Tamandua tetradactyla: one gene and its partner. The protein of the gene in region 2 interacts with the protein of the main gene of each other region in a pairwise test. Links are inferred from orthologs where the notes say so. Each region holds a gene or a part of one and is shown on either strand. Other genes may lie near its edges. The genes, in order: SKAP1 and PRAM1.

What was found.
Region 1: the proteins of PRAM1 (region 2) and SKAP1 interact in binary tests that used the Homo sapiens proteins (3 or more experiments, as listed by UniProt). The two-hybrid records come from large-scale screens. The link is inferred for Tamandua tetradactyla from reciprocal best matches to the Homo sapiens genes PRAM1 and SKAP1.

What each region holds. Positions count from the first base shown.
Region 1 is NC_135332.1:29,697,147-29,713,001, forward strand, and holds the start of SKAP1 (src kinase-associated phosphoprotein 1), read right to left. Parts: upstream 7,408-15,855; 5' UTR 7,327-7,407; coding exon 7,278-7,326; intron 1-7,277. UniProt on the Homo sapiens protein: Positively regulates T-cell receptor signaling by enhancing the MAP kinase pathway. Required for optimal conjugation between T-cells and antigen-presenting cells by promoting the clustering of integrin ITGAL on the surface of T-cells.
Region 2 is NC_135337.1:84,921,955-84,938,099, forward strand, and holds the start of PRAM1 (PML-RARA-regulated adapter molecule 1), read right to left. Parts: upstream 7,876-16,145; 5' UTR 7,694-7,875; coding exon 7,691-7,693; exon of another isoform or gene 6,064-7,690; coding exon 4,374-6,063; exon of another isoform or gene 4,288-4,373; coding exon 4,221-4,287; exon of another isoform or gene 4,147-4,220; coding exon 4,070-4,146; exon of another isoform or gene 924-4,069; coding exon 866-923; exon of another isoform or gene 745-865; coding exon 642-744; exon of another isoform or gene 499-641; coding exon 336-498; coding exon of another isoform or gene 332-335; exon of another isoform or gene 277-331; intron 270-276; exon of another isoform or gene 248-269; coding exon 214-247; exon of another isoform or gene 128-213; coding exon 93-127; exon of another isoform or gene 1-92. Other genes in the region: acidic leucine-rich nuclear phosphoprotein 32 family member B-like, read left to right, coding at 9,742-9,783, 11,079-11,235, 12,002-12,084; ZNF414 (zinc finger protein 414), read right to left, coding at 12,632-12,711, 12,805-12,978, 13,422-13,472, 13,575-13,918, 14,471-14,576, 14,695-14,802, 15,161-15,470, 16,115-16,117. UniProt on the Homo sapiens protein: May be involved in myeloid differentiation. May be involved in integrin signaling in neutrophils. Binds to PtdIns(4)P.

The DNA of each region.
Region 1 (15,855 bases), on a different chromosome or scaffold from region 2:
ATGTAGCAGAAATTATACGATTTGTAGGTTGTAACGGCTTATATCATGTGAAAAAATTAGATTATGATAATTATGTCAATATGTTAAGATGCTCAGAAAACAGTAAAACTTGAAACTTGCCTCCTTATTTCTTCTATATTTAAAATGATTTTTAAATTATCTAAGTCCTATACTTATGTAATGAGGTGAAAATGTTATTAATTGCTGGCACTACAATTTGTATAACAGAGAAAACTGAGTTGTTTGGCAAAATAATTGGCTGTGTGTGAGTGTTAGTGGGAACTGAACTAAACAGATAGTTAAACTGCCTTTTTCAGGTAGCAAAGAGAAAAACAATTTTTTTGTTTTGCTCCAAAGAAGAGAAAGAGTGCAATGGAAAGGCATGTGGCTAAGAACTTCATCAAATGAAGGGCCAAAGGGCACTTGTTGATGACTAGGGTAGCAGAGAGGCATTTTAGGAACAGAGATGCCTAACACTCGTATTGAAATTGTGTACATTACTACAATGCAAACTCCTCCTCCTCTCCCTGCACCCCCTGAATCTCCCATCTTCTACATTCACAAGGACTTCATGTGGCTAGAGTTTGGTGGAAGCTAATGAAGATGGTAGGTCTAGACCAGGGTTCCTCAACCTCAGCACTATTGACATTTTGGGCTGAATAATCCTTTGTTGTGGTGGGGCTGTCCTGTGCATCAATGACCAGCATTCCTGGCCTCCATCCAGTTGTAACAACCAAAAAAATCTCCAGACAGTGCCAAAAGTCCCCTGGGGCACAAAATCACCCTCGTTGAGAACCACTGGTCTAAGCCTACATAACCAAGGACAAGGAGCATATGTAGAAGCAGGGAATCCTGGAAGGAAAGGTGACCTTGAGAATGTACACTCCTTGAGAAGTAGCTGGATCTTGAGGACCACTGTGGACTTCCACAAGGAATAGATCTTAAAGTTCAAGAGGTGTGGGAAACCCTCCTGTCATCTAGTTTATACCCACAATGGAGCTCAAATATTTTTATACTTTTCTTTTCATTTTAGCAAACAAAATGGGAGAAGGGAGAGAGTAAATCTCCAGTTTTCTTTTGATTAAGAATAACATAAAAATACTTTTTTTTTCACACCTACATACACAAAAGCACTCCATAACAAGGTAAGAACACATACTTTCCTGAAACATGCTCAGTCATACCCAAACAGACTTGGAAAAGTTTCAAGTAACCTGACTCTCCAGAGAATCCCTTTGTTACAAAACAAAATTTCAACTGAAACATCAGATTATAAAAATTATATGTTGGAAGAATCTACAAAAGTATAGAAAATTCAAAGAACTACAGGCTATGTGATGAAAAAAGCAGTAAAGGTAACTTCCTCCCTCCATCCACCATACAGTTTCTCTTGGAAATGATCACTGGACTCTGATCTGAGAAAGGAAGAAAATGGAAGAGACTCTGAAAGAACCCCCTACAAGCCTCAACTAATTTCGAGAAACAAGGATAGACCACTAATATGAAAAAGGCCATGGCAGAGAGTTTTCCTATGGAGAACAGTTAAGAAACAGAGGCCAATAGGACTATCTCAAAATTTTTTTTAAATCATTTTTAATTGTATTTGCCAAAAATACATAAGGTGTTTGATTCATGCCAAATATTGTTCTAAGTTCTTTTCAAATATTCATTCCTTTATTCTTCATATAAACTCTATAAATTTTCAAATTTATTTATCATTAATTTAAGAAGCCACAAGTAGCTGATGGGTAGTGAATTGAACAGCGCAGCCTAGATATCTAAGAGATATTATTTATAAGAATGAAAAAGCCATGGTCAGAAAAAAGTAAGCGATGAGCAGATTAAACAGAAAAAAATATTAGTATTGCTATGGTTTAAAAATATAATAAAATCAAAAATCATTCTTAAAATCTAATACACAGACTAAAAACATAAGTGACTCTCTGGATCCAAATATCTCAAATTATATCAACAGTTTCACATTATACACTGGAGGAAGGAGCCAAAAAGCACCATTTCATTCTTTTTTTTTTAATTAATTAACGGAAAAAAAGAAATTAACCCAACATTTAGAAATCATACCATTCTACATATGCAATCAGTAATTCTTAACATCATCACATAGATGCATGATCATTGTTTCTTAGTACATTTGCATCGGTTTAGAAGAACTAGCAACACAACAGAAAAAGATATAGAATGTTAATATAGAGAAAAAAATAAAAGTAATAATAATAGTAAAAAAAAAAAAAAAAACCTATAGCTCAGATGCAGCTTCATTCAGTGTTTTAACATGATTACTTTACAATTAGGTATTATCGTGCTGTCCATTTTTGAGTTTTTGTATCTAGTCCTGTTGCACAGCCTGTATCCCTTCAGCTCCAATTACCCATTATCTTACACTGTTTCTAAGTCCTGTACCATTTCATTCTTAATGTTGCTAACCAGAGGAAAATGGTTCAATACTTCGGAAATCCTAAGAGGTAAACCACCAGTGGAATAAAAACAGGATGTCTAACTTTTAAATCATTCAAAGAAAAAAATTAATTTCTAAGAAAATGCTCCAGAGACAACAGCAGGTAGAAAATATTAAGTGGAAAATCAATATACAAAATTATTATGCACAATATGTCCCAACTTTTAAAGTATGTACATATAATAAAGAGTGAAAGAAAGACAAGGCATTTAACAGTAGTTGACAATGGGTGATTGTATATTATTGTTTTCTAAACTTTCTACATTGAGCATTATTGCTTTTATAATTATAAAAAATTATAATTTGGTCCTGGCTCACCTTTCAGAATTCAAATGACCAATAACCTAATCTATGTGAGAGCCAACCCGGTTTAAGAAATAAAGCAAAATAAACTCTGAGCAGGCAAAATACATATCACAAAACCCATGCACCAAGCCTGGGTACTCTGTTTATTAAGAAAGTATTTCATACTCTTCTTTCATGCTGATCTTAATTCCAACAAGCTTGCTTTCTGATGTCCAGTGACATTAGGGATGTAGACACACTGACAGCAGTGCAGAGTGATAGGTTTCAGCCAAACAGCAGGAAAAATGATAAACTTAAAAATTAAAAAGTTAAAACAAAAAAAAAAACTCAAAAAGCAGTCCACGGGAAATTATGACAAAAACATCCCTAAACAATTCAATATATCTCCATAGAACATGATAAAAGCAACTCTGAGTTTTTAAAAAAAATACATTGAAAGGAGGTCCATTTGAATACAGACTGGTCCACTGAAGTTATGAAAGTTCTTGATGCATTTCAGAGAAAAAAGAGATCACAAATGTTTAAATTTAAAAGTCAGAGTGCTTGAAGAGAAAATCCTCAACCAACCAGAGAAACTCAGGCCTACAAATTCCATATAGTTGTTGCTTTACTATATTGAAAAGGATTTCATGGTTGGCTGCATCAACCAATACAAATCTGGATAACAACTGGAAGGAAATGATTCATGGTTGCTTCTTTCCATAGAAGTTTAAAAATAAGTAACCACAGGCATATCAGAATCAGCATTAACTCAGTGACTACTACTAAATGCAGCCAGGTTATAGATGCTATTTTGGCTTAAATCCATATCCCAAGAGGATTTAGTTACCACGTAGGTGGTTGAAGTCTATTAGCTAATGGGGTAAAGTCAACCAGCCCCATTCCATCACACTGGAAAAACTGTGACCCGGGAAAAAGTTTATTCCACCTCCTTCATTATTTGCCTCTTCTGTTTCTGACTTCAAAAAATGAGGCTAAAAAGACAAGGAAGAAACTGATTATATTTCTATCTGAGGAACAAAGATGATGCAAACTGGCAGCACTTCACGCTTTTGTTTTCAGCCCAATTATCACAAAACAAAAAAACAAAAAGATAACTTCTACATCTGAAGGAGAACACTTACTTGGCAAAGACCTGAATACTTCCTTCTCTTTCAATTAGGAAAAGGCTGCTTCAATTTACTTATCTATAAGGTACTTATTTGCTGATATGGAGCTAGTTACTATTTCTATATGAGAGAATGACAGAGTCTATCTGAGGAAGCTGTTTCCTGAGCTGTTCTAGAAGCCTCTCCGGCTTTTGTATTTGCCAAAATTCCAATGAAGTATTTTTTCTTGTTTTTTAATTCCCTACCGTCTACCCATCTCCAGGGTTAACAAGAGAAAAACGTAATCCCAAGTATGGTCAGAGGGCCTTTAGCATTCTGTACACTCTTAGCTTCTATCTGCCTTTTTGTTGGTTTGCTTTAAAAATAATAATAATAATAACCTTACTAGTTGTTTTTGGCTGGTTACAAAAAATCATAATTATTGTCACAATTCAAACAATGTGAAGATATATGAAATAAAAATTAATAATCTCTGCCTTATCCACCCTTTCACTTACCTCCCAACGAAGCTAAAATTAACATTTTGGAGTATATTGTTCCTACTTCTTCTGAGACTTACAGAAACATATAATATATAGGAGTTTTAGTTTTGTTTTGTTTCAAACAAAAATAGGATATTAAACGTACTATTATGCACCATGCTTTTTAGTCTTAACATGCCATGAAAAGAAAAAAGAAACATGCCCTGGCCATTTCCCAAGTTAATATATAGAGATACATCACACATTCTTCATGGCTGCAAAGTTTTCCATATTCTGGATGTTCCATGATTTATTCAACCATCGCCTCATCCTTTCCCAACTCAAGGATATTCAAGAGAGATCCTTGTGCACATACTTCATGTACTTTAATTTCAGTAATGCAGTTTCCTAGAAGTGGAATTTCTGAGTCAAATGAAGCATTTTTAATTGTTTAACATTTTATCCTTAAGCTAAATTAGTTTTAAACCTTCAGAATTTGTTTTCTCTTCTTTATTATGCAAAATTTCAGCATTAACCTTTCACAATGTTTTGCATATTTTATTTTTAAAAGCACATGTTATGTGAAAAGCATGCTCCTGTCATTTATGCCCATGTAGTTATAAATAAATAAATGCCTGTGTTATGGCTTTGATGGTCAGCATTAAATCAGTGTGCTAACACTTATGCCTTGGTTTGTGAAAGTAGTAAGTCATCATGGAAACTCCACCCCCCAAGGCCATGCGGCAGCTCTAAAATTGCAGCTCTTACATCCTGTTACTCCCTCCAACTGAGTGACTAGAGATCAGGACCTACATATTTTCTAATTGTCAACAGTTAACCTTAAAAAGGGAGGGAGAGACAGTAAACAGCAACAGGCAATAAACTGATAGCCATTTTGAGTTTCTAGTATCCACAAATTATTCATAATACAGTGAATTATTCTGCTGACAGAAACCAGAGATTGTGTTCCATAAAAATAAAACCTATAACCAATAAATTGCTATTTTTACACGAGCCTTTCAAAAGCATATTCTTCAAACACTGAAATAGAATTACTGATTGAATCCCACTTTACATTTTTTTCTCTACTTCAGATTCAGGCTCTTAATTGCAAACTTAAAAAAAAATACATTAACCAATTAAGCTCCTTAAAATTTAACCTCAGACTCCTCATAAATTCCAAAGACCTGCGCACCAACCGAGATTGTTAAGATGCAGCAAGTTTGATATAGAAGTATGTGACATGCAATTAATCTCCATTCATACCCTGCTCTACTTGTCAGCAAACAAAGGTTCTACTTTAGAAGGAGATCTGAAGACTTCAATTAAAAAGTCAGCTAACAAGAAAATAATCCAAGTTAAAGGAAGGTGGCAGGTGTAGGAATGAGTTGTTTACCAAAGTGTCAGTTTTGAACAATAAAGGACTACACAGCAAAAATGTTAAAAGAGTGAATTTCATTGCAAGGCTCTGAAATAAAAAGAAACTTTCTACCAAGTATACACACAAAAATGAAGTATAGCTTAACAAGCTTGTAAAACAGGTTTCCTCTCAAATGCAAGATGCCAATAGAAAGAATCACGTTATATCTTTAAATGCAAAGACAGAATTAAACTTTTTTACCACAGTTTCTTCTCTCCTGAAAACCAAAAGACACTTAGAGCCTCATGTTACAGTCTAATATTGAGCCAACAGGCAACCCAACAGCAAGAGGGAAAAGGCTGGACTGACACTTCTTTTACCCTGCAACTAGTTTTCTACTCCTAAAGTTTAGATTCATTCAAATCATAATTAAAATGGATTTTGGAAATCCAAAATTTCCACACACACCCACAAAAAAGACCCTAGTTGACAGTTTTTACATAGAAGCAATACAGGATGGAAAGAGTGCTACAAATCCAGACTTGCCAAATATTTGATTAGGAGGCATTTATACCAAGATAACAAGGTAATGGAGATATAAAACCAATTAAATTGAGGGAAACTGAAAAATAGCTGCTTGCCAAAAGTATGACCTCCCAAAGCAGGCCATCTGTTAAATATGTGTCAAATATGTCTCTTAGATGCCAAAAGGCTTAATTTTGAATAGTTTCCTCCTGGGATTCCTATGCAAGGGCAGATTCCAGGCCTCTGTTCTTCCTAGAAGGTCAATTACAGGAAAGCAAGTAAAAATTACTTTCACCATGAAAAGTGTCAACTGAGATACCATATTGTATACAGCGAAGAGTCTCTTCTGGGTGCTGGAAAGAAGTATGTGCTGAGTGTTAGCATGGCCTTAATTTTTAAATGATGGTTGGACACTAGAAAAGGAAGAAATGCAATAGTGAATAGGGAATATTAGTTGGCCCTGGTTTGATAATGAGACCCTTAGAGGGCTGCAGGCTGGAGATGGAGCCTGTGGTTTCAGCGCTGCCCAAACCTCGCACTAACCACGAAGCCTTGGCCAGCAGAGGATCCCCATAAACTCCTCACAGTCCCTCTGGGGAGGCTCGGGGCCTCTAACCAAGAAGATGAGGGTCCTCTGGGAGAGGTGAAGAAGTACTGGGAGGAAGGGTGAGGGGGGCGAAAGCCTACAGGTGCAGGGCGGAGACTTGAGGGAGAAGAGACAAGTGGAAGACGAGGCAAGGTGGCATGGGGGACTAAGAATCTGGCCTGAATCCTGGGAGGTTCAGTGGTGCGTGTGTGTGAGAGAGAGTGAGACTAGAGAGAACCAGAGAGAGAGAGACTCTGAGGTGAGAGGATGAGAGCCCGGTCCTGGGGAGTTGAGAACTCTAAAAGCCTTGAATGTTCTAGAAAGAGGTGAGTGATGGCGCGGCCCAGAGAGCGTGGCCTTGGAAGCCCCGATGCCTCCTCTCCTCCCTTCAGGTCAGCGCCTGTGGGCTTCGCGGGGGGTCGAGGGAGAGGCCGGGGCTGAGCCAGGGCGTTACCTTCCAGGAGCCAACGGATGTCCTCGGGGAGGGTGGCGGCGGCCTGCATTGCGCGGGGGCGGTAAGGAGGCCCGAGGGTGAGGCGGGAGCGGGCGCGCGAAGGCCGTGCGCTGAGGCGCGGGCGGGCGGCGGGGGGAGCGCGGGGCAGCACCTGCACCCCTGGCGCCGCCGCTCGGCGGCTGCCTCCGCTCGCCCAGCCGCAGGGCGGGGCGCCGGCCCGGGGCGGAGCCTGGGGAGCCGCGGGCGCAGCCCGGGGGTGGGCGGTGCCCTGAGGCCCGCAGGTGGAGGGAAATGGGGCGGTGGGCGGTGCCCTGAGGCCCGCAGGTGGAGGGAAATGGGGCGGTGGGCAGAGCTGGGAGCCCCGCGCCAGGCAAAGCCAAAGGGTGACCGCTCCAGGCCCCCGCCGAAACAAAGGCTTTGGTCAAAGGAACCCTGTCTCTGAGACTCTCCATCCTAAGCACCGGACGGTTGGTCTCAAGGTGAGAGGATTAAAAGCAACCGTGGGGCCCAAAATAGGGTGAGGAGGAGGAAGAATCTGAAGGAGAGTTTAGTCCGAGTCAAGCGTAGCACCGTTCAACCCCCGATCCCGTCCACAACGTCCATGCCCGGGAAACTAGGACAAAACTTTCCCTCTCTCAGGCAAAGCTCCCATGCTTAAGGAAAATGACCTTAAATCCCAATAAATACTACAAAGCCACCAGCATTTGGGAGAATAGAAGTTGGAGCGGAACAGGGAGTCATCCGAGTGTCCCTTCCTCCTTAAGGCTGAAAGATGCAGGGAATGGAAGGGGTGGCCTGGGGGAAGCTGAGGGAGAAGGGTAGAGGGCCCTTCTCCTCCAAGATCTAATACGGGGAGGAGAGTGACAAGATTACAGAGAACAGTGTTCTCTCAAAGTACAATAGGCATCAATATCCTGGTTGCGATATCACACCGTGGTATTGAAAGATGTTACTACTGGGGGAAACCAGGTGAAGGAGCACAGGGTCTTCCTCGCTGTGCATTATTTCTTAAAACTGTATGTGAATCTACAATTATCTGAAAACAAAGAGTTTACTTTAAAAAAAAAAAAAAGTACAGTAGGCCAAGCACCTTGAGAAAGATGCAAGGTGCCATGGGAGATAAAAGAAGACAGATGTAAGAAAAGGAGAAAATGCAGGTACATGTGACATTTGAGGTGGGCTCTGAACAACATACGGAATTTTGAAGGGTCAGGAGGGCTGTCCAGGTGGAAGGGCCAGAAAAAACGAAGATGAGAAAGCCTTCCTTTCAGGCAGCAGCTAGTAGCTAGTGTTGGGAAACTAGGGTTGTTAAGATAATTTGAAGCTCTATTGTGAAGGACCTTGAATATCAGAATCGGGATTTTGGACTCAATTGAATGGGCACTGGGGAGCCATTGACAATTTTTGAGCTGCGGAGAGACCTAAATAGAACCCTTGTGTAGCATGTGACCTCACATACATCTCTGCACCTCTGTGGTTTTCCTTCTTTGTTAAATGGGGTTTCTATTCTCAGACTCGACCCACACAGTGTGTGGGAAGGATGGGGGACAGTAAGAGAAAGGACAACAGGAAGAGGGATGAAGTGGTTTTACAATAGCCTCAGGGGGAATAAAGACTGACTCAGGGAGGTGTTGAAGGAAACAACAAGGAGAAACCATCCTTAAGGACACATGGTAGCAGTGCAGGCCCCGCTAGCCTACTTTCCCCTGGCTGAGATACAGCCTTAAGGTTGGGGGCTTAGTCTTTTAAAGTGTGCAGTGGGGTTGAGCCATCTTTACTGTCTGCCTCCTGAGATTTGAAGAGAAAGAGTACCTTGGTTTCAGGATTATAGGCCTGCACTGCTACCACAACGGAGAGGTTGGGAGCAGAAGCTGGCTCCTTCCTGCCGCAGAAAAGTGTAGCAATGGACAGACTGGCATTCTCCAGGCTTCTGAGCAGTACCAGGTACCTCCTGAGGCAGTTTCAGCTGCCCCGCTGCTCCTTCCATAAAATTGTAGTTACTTTTTTAGTACTTAGGCAAAGAAAGGTAATGAGAGCTCTGTATTGTTGTCATAATTTTTTTTGCAAATCTACAACTGTTCTAAATTATAAAGTTTATTTCTAAAAAAAAAACAGCAAGGGAAACAAAGTTCCTCCCATATGTAAGCCCAGCACTTTGCCTTGTTTCCCTCTCAGGGATGGAAGAAACTTTGACAAACCCCATTCTGCAAGGATATTGTGTCATGTGCTAATATAGGCTACAAGCTGATAAGTTATTTGGTAAGGAGCAATACACCCAGGTAATTGTACATCCTCACAGGTTTCACTCACTGCCTGTCATAGCTTACTAAAGCAAGTGAAACAGCAGAATTTGCAACATAGGTATTTTACATCCATTCTTCCCCGCAGGAATTTCTGGGTTTTAGGAGATGGAGGTGGAGGGAGGTGCAGGTTGGGTAATGTGTGGTGGGTGACTGGCAGATTCCAATACGGTATTGTCATGTTGCATCAAGGTTCCTCATTGCAGACAGAAACCTGCCTCCGCACATGAGCGCAGCCCCTCCTTAATCATCTGAGAACCTGGTTCAGCGGTCAGCCTCATTCCTAATGACATTCTGTTAAATGGACAAATTCCTTTGAAGCCTTGTCCTTCTTTGAAATCCAATTTTGCAGGAAGCCAGATCTGATTTGGAGTAGCCATGGAAACCACACCGAAGAGTCTTAGAGGAGGTAAGGGGAAGCAAGGCAAAACGTGATAGTCAAGAGTCCTTTACTGCTTTGTCAGAAATATCAAAGGGATCTGGAGAGGTTGGCAGCAGACGCGTCCCTGTCCAGGTCCTGTTCTGTGTGGCTGGGTACCATGTGGCTGTCATGGAAGTAAGCAGCCAGCTGTCTCTGCATACTGGCAGGAGGATGGAGCAGAATACACAAATCCCAGGTCTGTCTGCCTCGTTCTTTTTTCCCTTGCTTTAGCCCCAATTCCAGCACGTTCTTACCAGACCCTTCCTAGCTGCCTGCCCCTTAAAAGCAAACAACAAAAGAATGGCAAGGTTAAAATACAAGACCCTCACTGATAAGAGGTCCTTTAGAGCAAAGGCCATGAAATTAATCTAAAATTCCTTGTAATTAGATAAGATAAGGATATCTAAAGAGATGCAGAGCAGCCAGGAATGAAGTCCGGCAGCAGGACATGCAGACAATATACCGCCTTGTCAACAAGGGCCTCACACTGTCAGCAGACAGAAGACAGAGAAAACACAGTCTATGCTGCTCTCTAAGCTGCTGGAGAATGCCGGCTGCATATTCTCATGCCAGGTGGGCACTCACTAAATATGCATCCGTGGGGCATCCAGAGGGATCAATCAGGAAGAAACAAAAGCATCTGGCACCCAGAATGGCATAGTATAAGAACAACTGCAAGCAAAGCAGGAGCCGGCTGGCACTCTTCTGCCCTGGGTAAAATGGATCTGAAGAGGAGACTGTGGAGGGCAGACTCTCAGGCTTTATTCTGAGCTGGTTATTGATCCCTGGATGCTGGGTCATGACACGCAGCGGAGCTGACGTCTGCCCTGTGGATGTGCAGCCGCTGCATCTCAGCCTCTCAGTCCCAACCCCATCAACCGAGTTTATTGACTCTTTTATTGACAATGCTGAGACCTAATGAGGACAAGAGCTGCACACTTCATTAAGGGCTGTGGAAGGAGAGATGATGCATCCTGTCCTGTAGATGCCAAGATCAGGCTCACCACATGCTTTGCAGGGCTCCAGAAACCGAGGCTCCTGCCACTTCTGAGGCCCAGGAGATGAGCACAAGATGCTACCTTGGGTCCATCACTTCAGTGCCCTTAAAATGTGGTATTTCTACAGCATCCAGAGACCTTACTCTTACCAATCAGGTAACCATTAAACACAGGAAAGTCCTATTAAACACACACACACAGATGCACTGCGGTGGTCACCCCTTTCCACTCACACTTCTAGATTCTCTGTGCTAATACAGGCAACAAAATAAGCAGGGTCTCATATCAGAACAGGGAACATTCCCATAAGCAAGCTATCGATAAGGCAGAGCCTCCGGACAGAACGAGGGCTATGAAAACTCAAAAGAATCTTCAAGGTAATCAAATTTAAGACGAAGAACAAGCCCACACCCTGTCCAGGACCACACAGCTCACAGGGAATGTACTGGCCTTAGAGTCCTGAGTCTCTTGTGTTTGTCCAAAGCTCTTGATGAACTTAGCAGTTCCTGGGCTGGATAATTACAGCCTGGGGATGGCCGAGCAGTTGTGTGAAACAATCATTGTTGATCCTCTTCCTCCTAAATAACATTTCTTTGTTTGTACTTTATCATATCTTTCTATTACTCCCCTTATTATTTTTCCTCTATATTCCCCAATCACTTTTTTTTTAGTATCATTTTTGCCTATCCCTTAGACCACATTAAACATTCCCCATGGGCACCGATGAACCCCACAATGGCCCTAAGGACCACAGAGGTTGCTGACGGTGACATTCTCTGTCTTTGATTGGTTCTCTTGGGAATGGGGGGAGGGGAAGCAATGGGAACTTGGAATGTGTCAACTGCAGCCAAATGACACAGCGTGCTCTCTGAGCGAACCTGGAGGTCCGCTATATGGTTAAACTGCATGGGGAGACAGGTGGTGCTAGGGCCAATTTTATGGTAGATATTTGCAAACATGTTAACTTTTGGAAACTGTAATGGAGTTTCTTTTGGGGGGCAAGGGTGTAGATTAAAGGTATTAAAACAAAATAATAGAGGGACAGCAATTTTTTAAATTATTTCTCTTAGGTTAAACTGGGTTTATTTGGTTTCTTTCCAAAAAGGTAAAAAATTCCACTGAATTGTATACTTGAAAGTGGTTAAAATGGGAAATTTAATGTTGTATATATGTTGCCATAATTAAATTTTGAACAGAAGATAACGAGAACATATTGTATAAAAAATAAAGAAGGTAAAGTTTAAGCTTCCTTGACCACCTCCTTTCTTTCTATCCTTTTTTGTCCCTCACTTTATCAAAGACCTTAGAATTCAAGGTGGGGGGTAGGTGGGGAGATTATTTACAATTTGGTAGGAAGCTCTGGCTTGCACTGCACACATGCTTTGAAGGAATGCTCACACTAAGGGAAAATGAAAAATACTCTGACAAGAATCACCAGCATTCACAAATCCAAACAGAAACACTAGCTGGAATCAGAGATCAAACGAGCAATGGTTGATTACTTCACTGTGAGAACATGGATTAAAAAATGAGGCCTGGTAGTCTGTGGACGTCCTATGTAATGACGTTTAGGTCACCAAAATACATTCTTTCCTTGCCTTCTGAATTGTGTTAATGTCCATTTTGTTTTTTTCTTTCTAAAATATCTATTCCTAAACATCCTTGGCCTCTCCTTTCAGCAACATTTTGTAACCGTGTAAACCATGCTTTCTTTCACATACAAGACAGTACAGGCATACCTCATTTTATTGCACTTTGCTTTATTGCACTTCGAGGATATTGTCTTTTTTTTTTTTTTACAAATTGAAGGTTTATGGCAACCCTGCATCTAGCAAGTCCATCAGCATCATTTTTCCAAGAGCATGTGCTCACCTCATGTCTCTGTGTCACATTTTAGTAATTCTCAGAATATTTCAAACATTTTCATTATTATTATTATATCTATTATAGTGATCAGTGATCTTTGTTACAATTTTAATTGTTTGGGAGTGCCACGAACCACACTCATATGAGATTATGAACATCATTGATAAATATTGTGAGTGTTTTAACTTCTCTACCCTCTGTTACCTATCTCTATTCCTGAGACACAACAGTATTGATATTTGTCCACTTAATAACCCTGCAATGGCCTCTAAGTGTTCAAATGAAAAGAAGAGTTACTGCTCTTTCACTTTAAATCAAAAGCAAGAAATGATTAAGTTTAGTGAGGAAGGCATGTCAAAAGCCAAGATAGGCCTCTTGCTCCAAACAGTAGTTAACCAAGTTGTGAATGCAAAGGAAAAGTTCTTGAAGGAAATTAAAAATGCTACTCCAGGGAACATGCAAATACTAAGAAAATGAAAGATCCTTATTGCTGATAGGGGGAAAGTTTCAGTGGTCTGGATAGACAATCAAACCAGTCACAACATTCCCTGGAGCCAAAGTCTAATCTAGAGAAAGGCCTTAACAATCTTCAGTGCTATGAAGGCTGAAAGAGGTGAGGAAGCAGCAGAAGAAAAGTCGGAAACTAGCAAAGTGTTTGGTTTGCTAAAGCTGCCAAAATGCAATATACCAGAAATGTGTTGGCTTTTTTTTTTTTTTGTACATGGGCAGGCACCGGGAATCGAACCCAGGTCCTCTGGCATCGCAAGGAAGCATTCCTACCTGCTGAGCCACCGTGGCCCACCCAGTGTGTTGGCTTTTACAATGGGATTTATTAACTTACGATTAACAGTTCTTAGGCCATGAAAATGTCCAACTTAAGTCATCAGTAGGATGATAGGCTGCTGGCATCTGGGACACCTCTGTCACATGGGAAGGTGCATGGTCGGCGTCTACTGATCCTTCTCTGGGTTTCATTGCTTTCAGCTTCTGGCTGCTCCCTCTTTCAGCTTCTCTGGGTACTTCTTTGAATTCCATCTCTCAGTTTCTGTATGTGTTTTGTCCTCTTATAAAGGACTCCAGTCAGAGGATTCAGACCCACCTTACATGAGGTAAGTCCCATCTCAATAGAAATAACTTAATCAAAAGTTCCCTCCTACCATAGATCTGCACCCATAGGAATGGATGAAAAGAACATGGACTTTTCTGGGATACTTTGTAACTTCAAACTACCACACAGAGATTGGTTCATGAGGTTTAAGGAAAGAAAGAATCTCCATAACAAAAGCACAAGGAGAAGCGGCAGGTACTGATGTAGAAGCTGTGGCAAGTTATCCAGAAGACCTAGCTAAGATAATTGATGAAGATGGCTATACTAAACAACAGATTTTCAATGTAGACAAATCAGCCTTCTATTGGAAGAGGATGTGGGACTTTCGTAGCTAAAGAGGAAAAAACAATGCCTGGCTTCAGAGTACCAAAGGACAGGCTGAAGCTCTTGTTATGGGCTAATGCAGCTGGTGACTTTAAGCAAATGCTCATTTACCATTCTGAAAATCCTAGGGCCCTTAAGAATTTTGCTAAATCTATATTGCCTGTGCGCTACAAATGGAACTACAAATCCTGGATGATGGCACATTTGTTTACAACATGATTTACTGAATATTTAAAGCCCATTGTTGAAACAGATTCCTTTGAAAATAATACCGCTCACTGACAATATACTTAGTCACCCAAGACCTTTGATAGAGATGAGTGGTGAGATTAATGTACATGTTGCAGTGTGCGTAGAAATTTATTGCATTTTTGTATATAAGTTATTTTTCACAATGAAAAAAGACAACGCACATAACTTAATTGAAAATACTTTAATGCATGCTGACCTAAAAATATCCATTCTGTAGCCCATGGATCAAGGAGTAATTTCAACTTTCAAGTCTTTTTATTTAAGAAGTATGTTTTGGAAGGCTATAGCTGACATAGATAGTGATTCCTCTGATGGATCTAGGCAAAGTAAATCGAAAATTTTCTGGAAAGGATTCACCATTCCAGACCCCATTAATAGGGATTCATGAATCATAATTCATAATTCGTCGGAGGAGCTCAAAATATCAACATTAACAAGAATTTAGGTGAAGTTGATTCTAACTCTCAGGAATGACTCTGAGGGGTTCAAGACTTCAGTAGAGGAAGTAACTGCAGATATGGTGGAAATAGCAAGAAACTAGAATTACAACTGGAGCATGATGATGTGACTGAATTGCTACAATCTCATGATGAAACTTTAACAGAAGAGAAGTTGTTTCTTAGGGATGAGCAAAGAACACAGTTTCTATTCCTGGTGAAGATGCTGTTAACACTGTTGAAATGACAACAAAGGATTTAGAATGTTACATAAAATTAGTTTCCTTCAATTTTGAAAGTCATTTTATGGAGGGTAAAATGCTATCAAACAGCATCACATTTCCAGTGCCTGCCCATGTAAAAAAAATAAATAAATAAACAAACAAACAAAAAAAAAAAACAGCATCACATACTACAGAGAAATCTCTCATGAAAGGAAGAGTCAATCAATGTGGCAAACTTCACTGTTGTATTTTTTTAAGAAATTGCCACCACTTTCAGCAACCACCACCCTGATCAGTCAGCAGCCATCAACATGGAGGCAAAACCCTCCACCAGCAAAAAGATGACAGCTCATCTACAGCCTACTAAAGGCTCAGATGATGGTCAGCATGCATTAAAGTATTTTCAATTAAGGTATGTGTGTTGTCTTTTTTATTGAGAAAAATAACATATACAAAAATGCAATAAATTTCTAAGCACACTGCAACATGTACATTGTCTTTTTAAGACATAATGCTATTGTACACAATAGATAACAGTATCATGTAAACATAAGTTAAACCAAATAAATTCTTGTGACTCACTGTGTTGCAGTATTCAGTTTATTGCAATGGTCTGGAACCAAACTCACAATATCTTCAAGGTATGCC
Region 2 (16,145 bases):
AGCAAGCAGCCCTCGTCTGGGATGGGGGACATGGGCTTAATCCTTCCTAAGGTACCATGGTTTCTTCCAGTCTTCCCAGAGCGGCTACGTACCCCAAAAGCCGACATCGTCATACACCTCCGTTTCCCTGGGAAAGAGCATATTTGGGTCAGCGAGGGCCAGCCCAGCCTACTGCACTCCCACCCACCCACCCCCACCAGGCCTAGCACTCACAAGGGGAGGAGAGCTGTTCTAGGCACATACCCATCTGCGAAGAGAGAAGACAGAAGGTAAGTTCTGGGAGAACCAGTAGTAGCCCCCACCTCCCCAGCACTGCTTGGACTGGACTCACTCACACTTGCCCTTCGTGTCTCTGCACAGCATCTCTTCCTTGCTGGTGAACTCTATCACTTCCAGGATCTCCCCCCGGCGGATCCCCAGGTGCTTGCCACCCCCACGACGGGTTTTGGCATTGGGGTCGATCATCATCCTCGTATGAATCACAATCTCCCCCTCAAACTGGGGGTAAGATGTTAAGAGAGTGGTTTTGTTTGTGCAGTCACCCTGGGAACCCTTGTCCTCTGTCTGAGGGTGGAATTCATGGGGCATTGGTAGTCTGAACCCAACCCACCCAGGACTTTTGCTTGTCATAGTGCCCAAACCTTGAATTTCTTCCGAAATTCCCTCTCAGCTTTTTCCGCCTTCCTGATCTTCTTCAGGTCTGCAGGCAACAACTGCTGAGGCTGGGGGACCTTCTCCTTTCTTCTAAGGAATTGGGTTACTGGTGAGCAAGATGAGCTCCTCTCTGGGACCACCTTTCACTCTCCTCCCAAGAGCTTAGCCCCACCCTGTTCTGCCCTCACCCATCCCCTGTGCCCCACGTTACTTAGGCTCTGGGTCTTGTAGCGGCCTCCTGGAGACTTGCTGTGTAGATGGCACTTCATCTGGCGGCAGGCAGAACACTGAGTCAGGCAGGGACTAAGCTCAGCCCTTCTCTACTCTGGTGATTTAGTCTGTACTAAGGCTTTCCCTGGATTAGTTCACAAGAAAGCCCCCAGAATCCCGAGCCTTTGGGTGCCAGGTCCCCTTTTAGTCCTACCCTGATTGTTCTCCAACTCCTCTCGGGTTACGGAGTCTAGTGGATTGCCTTTCTTTTTTTTTTAGCTATGGTCACATTTTCAGATATAGTGGGAAGTGCTTAATGCATTCCAGTCCTCATAACCACTGTATGTGATTGTATATGATACTAGCATTTCCATATTAGTAATGAAGTAATAAAGGCCTAGAGAGGGAAAGCCAACTGTCCAGGCTCACACAGCAGTAAATGGTAGAGGTGGCATTTACTGGCAGGCGATTGAGGCCATTTCACTTCTGCTTCCTAGGGCAGGTTGAGTTCTGGGAATTGTAATGAGATTTGGGTGAAAAATAAAACAAAGAAAAGTGTTCCCTACAGGCGAATGAGCCTGCCTCTGTGAAAAGGGCCTTCTCTATGAGAAGGGTGGGATTCTTGGCTTGGCATGGCTGAAGATGGGACTCCCAGGGTCAGGACTGTCCTATGTCACCTCCCAGCAAGTGACCAGCCTTTAGGATATGAGCCCTACTGTCCAAGGGTAGGGCCTATAGCGAGAGCCTCGAACCCTGAGTGTGAAGGATCTGGAACTTACGGCGTCAGCTTTAGTTTCCTCTGTGAGCAACTCAAAGCATCACTCTCATCACTTAAGGCCAGTAGTTCCCTCTGACAAGGAACCAGTGGCCCACTGAAGAATAGTGTGTTTCTGAGGGCCCTGGCTTACCAGTCATGAGGGTGCAAGGCCTGTTCACTTTCGTTTCTAAGACTTAGGCTCTCAAAACAGCATCTTGTTTCTTCGGGACCTAATCCCTAGTTGTATCCTCAAAGGGATGGTGAGTGTACCCTGTTGGGGGCACAGACCTAACTCCCTTCAGGCAAGATGGGAGTTGCTGCCCTTTGAAGTTGCGAGGCTTGGGAATATTGGACCTCTTCTACCCACCTGCCACCTAGAAACTTCACTGGTCAATTTGCTCTTATCGTCCCAAACCATGGTGCTAGACATTCTGAATGTCTGTTAGCAAAGCCTGGACTTGGAACACTATAGAGACCCTGAAGTCATCCAAGAACCAGTTTCTGCTATTCCCACCTTTGAGACTTTTCACTGCAATTCACCCTTGCATTGGCTAAGTCAACCCAATGGAGCCGCTGCAGCACCTGCTCCCCACCTCTCCACAGCATTCAAGGTCACAAATAAGCCTGCCAGTAGTGGGTCTTGAAAACCAAGATTGATATCCAGTCCTTTGGCCCAAGTCGGAGAAAAAACACGGAGGACAGAAATCTAACTTATTTGCCTCAATCCAGGATCACATTCCAACTTCTGGACTCAGTCTTTGTCCTGGAAGATTTTGTTCAGTGCCCGCATGGGCTGTAATATGCTTGGTGTCTATGCTACGCTCTTCTGCCCCTCGAGGCCTTAAGCAGGATACTTGGCCTCACCCAGAATGCTGTTCCTCCCACTGCTCCCACCACTTTCAGAGGCTGCCCCAGCCATGGGAGTCACACAACCAGGAGCAGACCAACTCCTGCACTCCAGAGGTCTGGTACAGAGAAAGAACCTGGCTGCCTCTTTTAATTCTAAGACTGCTTCCTGGGCCCCTGGTGCTTCAAATCAGCTGCAGGAAAGAAAGTGTCCCTTGGCACTGTGGTGCAGTTATGGCCCTGTTGTGGCAGTGTGATCCCAAGTAGGCCATTTACATTCTGCCTTCTGGTGGCCTGCTCTGCCTGTTCTGGAGAGGTGGAGGAGAGGTGGGGATGAGCTGTTCCTAATCTCAGTAGGGGGTGGGCCTACTGAGCCTCCAGGGTTGCAGGAACTAGAGTGTCCAGGAGAAGGCTGGGACTTTTGGAACTGTTCCCTTCTCCATAGTCCTACATCTCCAAGATCGGTCCCCAGACTAAGCCACAGAGCCTCCTCCAAAGCGGAAGGAGAAAGGGAGCCCTGCCTGGAGGCCCATCTTAGGCTATGTGCTAACTGGAAGGTGTTGCAAAGCTCCTGGGGAAAGGCCCCAGAGAAGCACAAGGGGCCCAGGAAGGAGCCTTAGAACTAAGGAGGCAGCTGAGTTCCTTTTCTGTATCAGGACCTTTGGGGTCAGTGTGGGGAGAGTGGTAGTATTCCAAAGGCTGAGGGAAAACTCATATGAAGGACAAAGGGCAGGAGGGGGAATGGGGGCAAGAGTGAATCTAGGAGCAGCTTGAGTTTCAGCTGTGCTGTTTCCTGGCCATGTGAGCTTGCTCAAGACACTTCTCAGTTCCTCAAGCTCCCGCCTCTGTAAAATGGAGATGATCTGTAAGATGTGTCTAGGTGGTGGTGCCAATATGGCAACAGGCATGTAAAGTGGTCCCCACCAGGACAGAGACTCAGGACAAGGAAGAGGAGGGCCCTTGGGAGACCCAGCAGAGACTATGGCTCAGGAAAGCAGGTCTTCATAGGGGGCTGGGCAGAGGGAGAGAGCAACTTGGTGACCTGGAACTTGGGGCCACAGACTGGAAGAGTGGGAGACATTCCTCAGGCCCCTGAACATAACTGTTCTACACATGGAACCGGGCATTTTTCTCCTGCACACTGCTCTTTTCTCTTGTGTTCCCAGCTCAGAGTTGGTTCCCCCCTGTATCCACAAGTGTTAGGTTCAAAACTTGGGGCTTATCCACATGGATAAGGAGGATAGCTCCCTCCTGCCTAAATCCACTCCAAGTCTTGCTAGTGGCTTTTTACCTCAGGATTCTTCCACAGTTCTCCCTGAATTCTGCCAAATCACTCTGTGCCAAACCATAGTCTAACAAGAGCCTTCCCACTGACTGTTGGTTCTGGGCTCCCCTTCCAAACCCGTTCCTCCCACCAGGAACTGGCATGGCCTTTCTAATAGGCTCCCTCCCCTGCTGCTTTCTCCCCAGATGCTGTCAGGGAGATGAATGGTTGCTTGGCATTACACCAGGAGCCAGGGAGAATGTTTCACAGGTGCCTGGGGCAGGCTGGGTCTGGCTGTGGGCCACAAGGAGGTGCCCCAGGCCCTGTACCCAACAAACCTGTGCTCTTGGGACTGGGTCTTGTATCATCTGTGGGCTCCACGTCATCATAGAGCTCATAGATCTCATCTGGATCCCTGAAAGGAGACAGAGATGAGGCCTCTTCCAGCCCCGCTGCCTGGGCCTGTCCGCCTTTCTCTCCCACACTCACTGCGGGATGTCTTCTGATTGTCGGGCCTGGAATATGGTCCCAGCAGAAGAGCGAGTCCTCTGGAGAGCTGTTGGAGAGAAGAGCAGGAGAGAGGGAGGCAGGCACCGCCAGGGAGCCCCACCTCCCTCTTTGGTCTGTGCTACCCTGACTCACCTGCAGCTGCCACCAAGGGTCTCCGAAAGCTCTTGACATCTGCAAGGCCTGGGGGCAGCGGGGGCTTGGCTGGAGGGGGTCCCAGACTGCTGGCAGGGGGCAGAGGCCTCCGCCGGGGTGGGTAGCTGGATTTGAGGCCCAACCTGGACCCTCCACTGTGAGCAAGGGCCCCTAAACTCCGTCGCCCAAATGAGTGGGACATCCCAGGGACTCCAGGACCAGGGCTGAGCGGGAACCTGGGACCGGAGCCCTTGATAGCAGCGGGCAGGGAGCTCTCAGAAACTGAACCAGGGAGTAGGGGCTTTCTGGGGACATCACCAAAGAACTCAGCCTGCAGACGTTTCTTGGCCAGTGCATTGGCCTCAGGCTGTGAGAACTTGCGGGGTGGCCCTCGGCCCTCGGGCTGTGGGAACTTCCCAGGAAGTATGTTAAACATGGGCTCTGAGGATGTCCTGGGGAGGGTACTTGGCTCGGGCTGTGGGGGCTTCTTGTGAAGGAGTGGTTTGAACTCAAGCTGTTGGGACCTCTTGGGAAATACACTGAACTCAGGCTCTGAGGATGTCCTGGTAAGGTCACCGAACTCGGGCTGCAGGAGCCTCTTGGGGAAGTCACTCTGGTGAGGCTGTAGGACCTTTTTGGGAAATGCACTGAACCCGGGTTTTGAGGATGGGGGGTGGAGCTCAGTGGACTCGGGCTTCGAGGGCATTGAGGGGACCTCACAGGAGTTGGGCTGTGTCAGGGACTTCTTAGGGGGCTTTCTGGGAGGCTCATTGATCTCAGGCTGTGGGGGCTTCTTGGGAAAAGTACTAAAGTCAGGCAGTGAGGGCTTTGGAGTGGCTTCGCTGGCCTCAGGCAGCCGGAACTTCCTGGGGAATGGACTGAACTTAGGTTCTGTGGGTGGTCTGGTGGAGTCGTTGAGCTCCAGCTGTGGGGGCTTCTGGGGAAATGTGCTGGGCTCCGGCTGTGGGGGCTTCTGGGGAAATGTGCTGGGCTCCGGCTGTGGGGGCTTCTGGGGAAATGTGCTGGGCTCCGGCTGTGGGGGCTTCTGGGGAAATGTGCTGGGCTCCGGCTGTGGGGGCTTCTGGGGAAATGTGCTGGGCTCCGGCTGTGGGGGCTTCTGGGGAAGTGTGCTGGGCTCCGGCTGTGGGGGCTTCTGGGGAAGTATGCTGGGCTCCGGCTGTGGGGGCTTCTGGAGAAATGTGCTGGGCTCCGGCTGTGGGGGCTTATGGGGAAATGTGCTGGGCTCCGGCTGTGGGGGCTTATGGGGAAATGTGCTGGACTCCGGCTGTGGGGGCTTCTGGGGAAACGTGCTGGGCTCTGGGGGCTTCTGAGGAACCTCACTAAACTCGGGCTGTGGGGGTTTCTTGGGAAATGGACTGGCCTCAAACTGTGGGAACTTCTTGGAGAGTTCACGGGAGTCGGGTTTGGAGGGCTTCCTGGGAAGATCAGTGAACTCAGATTGCAGGGGCTTCCTGGGGAAGGCACCAAACTCGGGCTGCAAGGGTTTCTTGGGGACTGCACCAAACTCAGGTGGTGAGAGTTTCCTGGGGTGCTCGCTTGACTCAGGCTGTGGAAACTTCTTTGGGAGTTTGTTGAACTCGGGCTTTAGAGATTTCCTGGGGGGTTCACTGGACTCGGGCTGAGAGGCCTGGAACTTTGCTTGGAGGCTCCGGAAGCCCTGATGGCTCTCCTGCAGGACAGGGAGCTAGTCAGGCTGGGACTCCTGTACATCGAGGGTCACTGAGAGGCAGATGTGGGAATATACATGCGTGTGCACACACACATCCACCCTTAGACTTGCTCCTCTTCCCTGACCTTGGCCTCATCGCTTTTGGCTGAGGTTTCCCACAGTTTCATCTCCAGGCTCCTGTAAACTACATCCCCCCAGTTTCCCCTACCCTCCCCACTCTGGTGTCCAATACATCCCAACCTCTCCATCGGTGCTGAGCTACCCATATGCCTCCCAACACTGCTGCTCCCTCAGTCCTTCCTTTTGTCGGATAACCTCTGAGCTCCCCTGACTGCCTCATTCTTCTGCACCCTAAATCCCCAACCCCTTCTAACTTTATTTGGAATCCAACCGCTTCTCACCTCGGCCACTGCCATCATCCCAGGATCATCCTAACAGCATCCTTCCCGGTCTCCTAGCCCCTGGCTCCCACCCTCCCTCTCACCATCCCTGCTCAGTCCCCCCCACAGCAGCCAGAGGAAGCCCCTAGTTGGTTCGTGCCTCTGCTCAGAATCCTGCAAGGGGTCCTCATCTCCCCGCAGTAAAAGCCCAGATTTCATAAAGGTCTCTCCCAACCCCAATCTCAGTTCCCCCTCCTGCCTCCTTGTTGGTCTTTGAACATTTGAGCACTTCCCCATCCCATCTCAGGGTCTCTGCACTTGACCTTCCTCTCTCCTGGGACATAACTTCCCCACCTTGTGCTTCTCTCCTCTTCCTCCTTCATCTCTCTGCTCCAAATGTCCTTATTAGATGTGCCATCCTCAGTTACCCTACTTTAAATCAATTCCCTCTTCTCAGCACTCCACACACTGTTTCTTTTACACGCACATGCACATGCGCACACATACTGGTAGACAGACTGACACATAGGCATCAACTGTGGTACACTGAGTATGTATGTCCCAGGCACCCTCGCAACCAGCCCCGTGAGCTTGATCATGGATGCCAAGAGACAGGCAGATGCACAAGTAGGCCAGGTCCTCTCTGACCTACAAGTTCTCCCACACGTGGCTTCGCCTGGGGTCAGCGAGTTAGGGGGAAGAGGACAGAAATGTGCCGGAAGGACCCACCAGGCCTTTGCTCCTCTGTGCATTTTTCCCCATCCAGAGGATGGATTAGGGTCACCCCTTGGAAAGACTGCCTTTTAAGGCTACTTCCCTACTGGGTGGGTCAAGGCAAGGACTCTGAGGTGACCATACAGTCAGATAAGTCACGGTCAGTGGGTCATGACCCTGGGGAAGGGCAGGTGGGGGTGGTGGGAGCCTGACCCACTTTGACTCCACAGAGGAAGCTTATCTGCCTGCTATCAGTTCATGTTGGCCTGGGGGCAGGGGAGTGGCTTCAGACTGTCCCATCTGGACCATAGGCCCTTTGGAACCCGAGCTGTCCTGGGGGAGGGGGCGGGGCGGGTGTCTCCACTGCTCCGTGCCTCTGGGCCTTTTCATGAGGCATCCCTGTTTGCTGAACTTCGTTCCCAGTTCTCTTTTGCCTGTCCTGTCTTGGACAATCCAATTTCCATGTGCTCCACCCCTTACCTCTGGCAGGTGCAGAGATCTCCTAGGGATTGGGAACTTGGGGACTCACTCACCATGGCTGCAAGTAGGTGATGGGCGATGGGGTGAGTGGGACCCAAGCTGAGTCTGCTGTCTTCAGGAAGTTAACTGTGGCTTCTGCTTCACCGGCCAGCACACAGGGTGGGGGCTGCCGGTGGAGTGGGGCGGGCAGAGGAGGAAGGAAAGGGGGTGGGGACTGCCCTAGCCAGTTGCCAGATACTGCTGGTTGCTTCTAACCCCCTTGAGCTCCCGTCCCACTTGCTACTGACCCTGAGCTTCGGGCCTCAACTGAGTCGCAAGTTTCTTGACTGTCTGCTATCCCCCTCCCCATACCCTGCTTGTCCTGGATTTGGGGATGGCAGGGAGAACTGGATGCCAGACGTGATGGCTTCCTGCCCCCCAAGGGGGACCTCCGAAAGGACCTGGTCAGAGCTGGGGCTTGGGAGGCCGCTGGGGAGGCTGGGAGATCCAAGGGGGGGGGGGGGGTCTGATGGGGAGGCCCCATCTGTTTGCCCTTCTTGCTTCATCTGCCTGCCTCATTTCAACACTTCCCCGTGGGCCAATTCCCAGATCTGAGCTGGACTTCCCTGTTATAGGAACTGCCTGTGAGGCCCCTCAGCAGATGAGCCAGCCGCAGCGGGGCAGGGCTGGCACGCGGGACAGAGGGCTGGCAGACTCGGTGGTGGGTGGGTGGTGTCAAATTCCTGACCCTGGGGAGGGGTTTCTGAGGACACCCCATCACTCCAAAAGACAAGAAGATTGGGAGGAAAACTGAGACAGAGTGGGAGGTCAGCAAAGAAGTGATGGCAGTGATTAAGACCAGTACTATTAGAGAATGGAGGCTGGCTTTCTTTTTTGTCTCCTTGTATTTTGAAGTCGTTGCCTTTTTAATCAGAGATACGGTATTCCAAGCACAAGCCTCTTTACAAAGCCTTTTCTTTTCGGCTTGGGCAGCAGTTGAGGAGTCGTGGATGCTAAGGGCATTTCAGCATGTGATTGTGAACACTGCATCCAAACAGCCCAGCACAACTCTGACTCCCGGGCCCAAGAGTGCTGGGGTGGGGGTGGGGTGCCTCCCAGCAAGGGCTTTCTTGAGCTTATTTAAACATGGAGGCAGGGAAGGTGGGTTGGTTGTCTTGAGGAACTTGCATTCTGAGCAGGAGCCCTTCAACTGCTTGCTCTGCAGAAGGGAAAACAAATGTGCCTTTTTGCTTGGAAATCTGCTTTAAAAGCACAGCTTCGGGATTCTGGAGCCTCTGCACTGCATGGGGTGACCCATGAAGGCAGGGAAGACGAAGTCTGGGCCCTCTTGGGATCTGTCGCACCAGCTAGCACAGGCTGATCATAAGAGGACAGCATATAGTGTTTGGTGAGAGAGGGAATGAATGAAAGAACAAGCAATTAGTAGTTGAGAGCATACATTAGGTGCTCAGTGAAGGTAAGCTGGGGGACAGAATGATAGCTGGCGACTTCCCAGGCTCCCAGCCCAGCCACTCCTGGGCATTTCCAGCTCCAAACTCATAGGGATGGCGTCCCTCAAGGCCCACTCCCTGCTTCCAGACAGGACTCCCTGGGGCAAGTCCCTGTGTTGCCTGCAGGGGCCCCAGCAGGTGGGGGTGGCTGCGCAGGCTCCCCCTCACCTCCTCTTTGTGTGGACAGCAGTTCCCGCAAGAACAAGCGGCTCCATTTGGAGCTGTGTTCCCGGAAGTCCAGAAAAGTGAGCGCAGGCTGAGCTCTGCCTTGGGAAGTGGAGGTTGTGTGGGGCATGGGTTCGGAACTCTGCGGGCTGGGGAGGGGTCTGGGTATTGGGGTGCCTGGGATCTGAGCCCTCGGTGTGAGAAGGTCCACTGTGCATAAGAGCTGAAGCCGGCATGACAGATCCCCGCGCAGGAGCCCCAGCACCTGCTGGGCTTGAGGCTAGTGGGGGTGGGTGGAGGTCGGACCAAGTTCAGGAGCGGGGTCTGGGGATGTGTGCCCAGTAGCTTCCACCTTCTCCCTTCCAGCCCGGGGTGAAGGTAACCGAGCCACCACCCACAGGTGACGGAGCTGGTCCTGGACACCTGCTCAGTGAGGCACACGAATCAACATGAACCTGCTTCTCTGGCCAGCCTTCCCATGCATGGAGCAGGTTGGTGTATGCAGGGATCGGGACTGCACTCGCCTCTCATTCATGTTCTCCAGGGCGCCCCTTCCTGGACTCAGCCTTTGGGACATCCTGGAGTTGGTGGTGGGATGTGTCTCTCCATAGGGTCATGGCTTGGCCAGAGGAAGGGCAAGGGCTGCAGGAGCCCAGAAGGGAGTGCTGGGGTCAGGAAAGGAAGGCTTCCCATAGAAGCATACAAAGGCAGGAGTGAGTGAGGATGGGGTGAAGGTTGGATGTAGTTTTTGGAGTGGATGGGGTGGTTGCTGGAGTCCAGGTCATGACCCAGCTCCCAAGGCAGAGTTCCAGCTGGCTCCAAGGGCAGTGGGGAGCTGGGAACTCATAGTCCCGAGGGAAGGGCAGCTCTGTGTACACAGGTGCAGGGGAGGGTCCTGGACCAAGGTGTTGACTCTGGGTCTCCCTGGAAAGGCACAGACAGGTTATTTGGGAAGTAGCATTACCCGGATTTTTGGGTGCCTGAAAGAGGGGCCTGATGCAGGGATCAGGGTTGGAGGCCTGGTGCACAAGAAACACAGAGCCCATCCCCTGGAGATGACGAAGAACCTGGGGCTAGAACCGGGGGAACAAAAATCCCAGGCCCGTGGGAGTCCGGGAGAGGGGAAGGAGCCCCACAGGCCTTTCTGCCTGAGAGTCAGCAGGGCTACATGTGCCCAGCTTCTGGGGTGGTGCCCAGTGGGTGAGTTTTGCCTGACATGGAAGTGGACCTGGCTGGTCAGGGCTTACTTAGTTAATTTCCCCTTCTGGCCTCACCCCATTGGTCAAATGGGCCCTTGAGCCTGTTTCCCTTCCTCTCCCAGTTCTTGGGAGGATCCCAGGCAGGATGGGTTGGTTGGGTGAGTGAGGGATGTGGCTAACTAACTCAGCAGACATATCCCAACCCCTCTCCGTCTCTCCCAGACACCACCCCCCTTTTTTAACCCTTACAAGGACCAAGTTTTCAGGACTAGGGAGGGTTGATCTTCCTCAAGGTAGCACAGTCATGGCTCCAAAGCCTCTGGCTGAGAAGGCAGGAGCTCAGAATCAGAAGGTCTTATGGCCCATTCAGCCCCAAAGCTGGGGTTGAGTGACAACTGCTTTAGAAGGGACCTGGTGGTGTGGGCAGAATGGACACCTGGCCTGACACACCTGAATCTCAGAGGCAGCTATCACAGCCCTGAAGGCCTGGGTGAGGCCTTCAGAGTGGAGCGGGATGGCAGGCAGCCCCCATGACCAGGTAGGCCATGTCCTAAGGGCACCTGGATCCCCTGTCCTGCTCCTCACAGAAATGGAGGGGCCTGTGGAGCCTGGACCTGTTCAACCGCGAGGTAATGCTGCAGCTGCTGCCCCTGCTCGTCTACCTGGTTGGCTTCGATGCTGGGGACTGTGAGGTGCCCAACTCTGAGGCTGAGGCTGACACATTAGCAGAGGACAGGCAGTACGGTAAGGGGCAGACAAGAAGAGTTTGGAAGGGTGGGGCTGCGGATCCAGCCCAGGGATGACAGGTGTCTTGTTAGCTATAGACACAGAAGCTGAAGACAAGAATAGACAACTCAGGAGGCCTCAGAAAATGAGGTCAGGGGAAAGGAAAGGGATTGGATGAGGTGGGGAGAGGCTGGGGAGGTGCTCAGGTCCTTGCTCAGGGGTGTCTCTGCTCCTTAGGAGGATGAGATGAAGAGGACATAGAAGGAGATGGTTAGTGTGGTCCTGGGAGTGGGTGGGTGAGGAGACTCAACCAGGGGCCTTGTGGTCTACTAGATCCGTGTCTTCATTTGGAGGGCCACGGGGAGCCAATGGATGGTACAAGACAGGGGAGGGGTGCAACTGGATTTATCCTTTACAGAAGAGACCCCTGTGTTTCCAGGGGCTCTCAGGCTGGAGAAGGGCATGAGGGGTAGCTGTGGGTACCTGAAGAGGGGGAGTTCAGGCCCAGGCTGGGGGGCCATGGGGGCTGGTGAGAAGGGGATGGATGGGAACAAGATAGAGGCAGAGGTAAAACCACCATCCAGCAGGTACACAGGACTTCCATGCTCAGGAGCCATGGCCAGCTGGGTTCTGCTGAAGCAGGGCTAGGGCAGCAGTGTGGCACCAGATTTCATGTCATCTTGGCTTGGCTTTCATGACTGGAAAGAGGACAGATTGGGGAGGGGGAAGGAGGGAGCCAAGGCTCCCCAGGACTGGCCTGACCCCTTCCCTTCTCCCTCCTCAGAGCTGGGCCAGTGGGGGAACACAGAAGAAGGCAGCAGGGGACAAGGGCGTGGAGGATGTGAGCAGCAGGAAGACCAGGCCTGAACCCCATCCAGCCTGACCCCAGCAAAGGATTCTCCCTTCCTTAGGAGTCTGCACTGGCCTTAGGATATGGGGAGCTGCAGCCTGGGCCAACCCCAGCACTTTCTCAGCACCAGCCGCCTACCATATCCTCCTGAGTCGTGGAATTAAAAAAAAAAAAAAAACTGGAAATTCCATCCTATCTGGTTTCTGGAAATCATAGGGCAAGACAGTGGCCCAGATGAAGCGGGTGGCATGGGACTTGGAGACCTGGGCTCCAGTGCTGAGGTGCAACACAGGTGGGCTGTGAGGATGCAGCTGTACCCACAGAATGGCCTCGAGGAGCTCTCTCCCAAGCCATGAGCTCCCCAGGACTGCTACACCGTGGCCCACTGTGTGGGTGAAGACTGCAAAGGCAAGGGACCCAAACATGGCACAGCCCTGCTCATCAGCTCCTTTATTGTGCCCCCCTCCCTCATCTCCTCAGCCCCCCTCAAATTACAAAATTGCCCACAAACCATGACGTCTCTCCTTTCACTGTCCCCCCCTACCCCCATCCATGCGGCCCTGTTCAGAGTGGCGAGAAAACTGGACACTCTCCCTCGGACAGCAGCGGCGGTGGCGATACCATGGGTGCGAGCGAGGCTGGGTCTGGATGGGGCAGAAGAGGGGGTGCCTGGGTCTCAGCGGCGCTTGGCGCTGCAGCCCTCATGTCCTCCCCACCCGCGGGGTCCAGGACCTTACCCGCCGGGGCTTCAGGGCGCGGCGGCCCAGGCGCTGGAGCCACAAGGGCGGTGGGGCGGTGGTCCTCCAGGTGTAGCGTCATTGCAGGGCGCGAGGCCGTGGAGAAGGCGCACTGCATGCACGAATAGCGGCCGCGCGTGTGTTCCCACACGATGCGGCTTGGGGCCGCGTGCCCTGTGGGCAGGCGGGACCCGTCATTTCAGGGACCCCAACCCGGAGGACCCATCTACCCGGGAGGATGGTGGACTTGGGCGAGGCAGACCTCCCCCTGCCAGCTCCTCGGCGCCGGGGCTGGCCTGGCTGGATCCGAATCTCTGGCTGTTTACTACTGGGACTAGGGGGTGCCAAGCCTAGCTTATTCGCGCGCCCCCCCCCCCCATCCCCGGTTTCACTGAAGCGGGAAAGAACGGCTCCGAGCTGAACCGGGCGCGCGTTTTATGCAGAAAAGTCGGCGAGGAGGAAAGCGCAGGTGTCGGGAATTTTTAAATCCTGTATTTCGGGGGCATTCCCGGTCATCTGGCAAAGGCGCGGGCCCTGCCAACCTCGCAGCATACACCAAGGCCCAGCCAGGCACGTCAGAGCCCCTCCATCCCTCCCTGCTGGTCACCTGCACGCACCTGAGGGCACCTCGGAACCGCCCTGGGGTCTTCTGGGGCTGCCCCCAGCACCTGAAGTGAAAAGGACGGATCAAAGTCAGAGGTTAGAGTTGGGAGGAGTAGGTGGGCGCGCTCCTGCCCCCGCGCCTCCAGGCGGCCCGTCCCCGCACTCACCTTGGCTCTTTTTCCAGACAGCGGCACTGGAGGCTGGCGGCCCAGGCGCGGCGGCCAGGAAGGGGCGCAGGCGTGGGGGGCTTAGGCCGAAAGGTGTGGGGTTCAAGTAGGGCAGGAAAGGCCCCGTAGGGGCAGGGGCGGGGGTCGTGAAGGGCTCGAGCAGCGGGAACTGCAGGCTCGGCGCCGACAAGGGGTCGGACTCCGGGGGGCGCTCGGGCGCTGGCGGCTCCTTGTCCAGAGCAGGGGGTGGTGGCGGGGCTGGGCTCTGCGCATGCTCGGCGCAAACATGCAGATGCTTGAAGAGCGAGCGATGTGTGCGGAAGCGCAGGAGGCAGTTTTCACACCTGGAGACAGGGCACAGGGTGGGGCTCAGTTTCCTGGGCGACAAGGGGGGGTTTATCCGATGCCACCTGGGGGCCTCCCTTGGAAGCGTGGGAAGGGAACCTGGACCCAATTTCCAGGTGGCAGTTCCTCCACCTCCGAGCAGGGTTTGGGGGTCTTGCCTTAATCGCCCCTCGCTACTATGGCTGTGACCCTTCCGGACCCTCTGGGTTGTAGCCCTGAGAAAATGAGAACGTCTCAAGCTTGATTTAAGACTTTCCACTTGGGGGTAATAGCGGGATTGGGCGGGGTTCCATCCACGCATGGCCTCCCCACTTCTGGGCTCCGCCCACCCGGCCACTGCACTAGGTTCCCAGAATAAAGACCAGGTCGAATCACAGGAAGCAAGTCTCTTCTAGGCAGGTAAGGGCGGAGCTTGCCCGAGGCCTCACCCACCGCCGGACCTACCCCACCCCAGCCCCCAAGTCTCGGTAGCTAGTTACACCAGGGTTGGGCGGAGCCGCCTGGGGCATAACAGTGGGGCGGGGTGGCGGGGGTGAGGATCAGGGTCTCACTTGAAGTAGCGATTGGGCTTGTAGTGAAGCTTGCCGTGTGCCACCAGCTCCTGCATGCTGGGGAAGGTCTCCGTGCAGCTCAGAGCAGAGCAGCGGAAGAGCTTACCTGGCCAGAGGCAAGGCAAATCAGTGGGTGGGATGGCCCAGACCCTCCTGCGCCTCTGCCTACCCCCCACCCTAATATCTCCCACCCTATCTCCTCCCCATACCTGCCCCGGCCCTACCTTCCAGGGACTGTGTGGGTGGGCAGTGGGTGCGCAGGTGCTGTGCCAGATCACGCACGCTGGGGAAACTGAGGCAGCAGCCAGGACTGGAACAGGGTACCTGCTTTCCTACAGGACGCACAAGGGGGTCACCCATCTCTTCCCTGCTGATGCTGACCCCCGCCCCCCCATCACTGGACTTGACCCAAGCAGGCACAGATGAGACTGGAATTACCCTGCTCATTGCCTATTGAGACCTTTACCCTCTGCCTTCCCCGGCAGGCACCTGAGCTGTCAGTGGGCAGGGGCTGGGTTGGCTTGACCCATGTCTGTACCCCAGCCTGGCATACAGCTGTGCTTGATAAATGGTGATACACATCTCTCTGGATGGGCCCCAAGTATGGAGAGATCCTGCATTCCTAACTCCTACTGTCTCAGGGCCTGTGACCTCTACCCCCCAAGCCCAGAAGGTCCCATCGCAGGACACCTGGTGGTGGGCGTCGTCTGGGAGGCCGCAGGTCCTCAATGGTGACGGAGACTGTGCTGCCAGGGCTGGCTCCAGGGCTAGGCTGGCTTCTGTCTGGGACTGGGGAGGCACCTTGCTGGGTCCCCCCAGGTCCTCCACGTCCCCATGCTGGGGGTGTGGCTGTCTGATCAAGGCCTGTCTCCTCCCCTATGGAGGAGATGACGGCGGCGGCTGCAGCCACAAGTGGGGACAACACCTCCTTTTCAGTGTCACTGGAGCTAGGCTCAGCAGTGGCAGGCATGTCCAGACTGGGCCCCACGGTTTCCTCCTCCTGGTAGAAGGAAGAAGGCGAAAGAAGCCCTCTGTGTGGACTATTCAGAGAATCCCTACCGCCCCGCCAAGACCACTGGGCTCAACTTTCCAGAAACAGTCATTGCCCCTGAGACATTACCCAGCCAGCCCCCAACGCAAGAAGTTACCATCAAGAGAGGGCACCACTTATGTCCTTATCCCCTGGCGAGAGCTAATCACCCCTATGAGGAAAGTATTCCCCGCCCACCTCCTTGTGCTGCTGGGGGCGCCATACGCAGCAGAGGCGTGGCCTAGAGGTAGTAGGCATGGCAAGAGCGATGAGGGCGGGGCTCTGGCTGGGCGGGACTAGCAAGATACTGGCAGGACCAGAGTGGCCAAGTGGAGCGTCTGGGGACGTGTCACACAGCTTGCGCTCAAGTTATGCGCAGACGAATTTGGTGGTGCTGGGGTGACCGGATGTTAAGCTTGGGGGCGGAGTTCGGGCCTTGTGGGCGTGGAAGCAGGCCCGGAAGTAGGGGTAGGGTGCTCGTCGAGTGACAGCCAGCAGCAGGAGAGTGCCCGGATGTGGGGGCGGGGTCGACTACAGGGTGCGCGCGAGACGGAGCCACTCCCCTCCAGTCCACGCTGTTCCACCACGCCCACGTTCCCCGGCGCCGCGCTCACCATCCTCGACCCGGCTCGGCTTCTTTGTCCG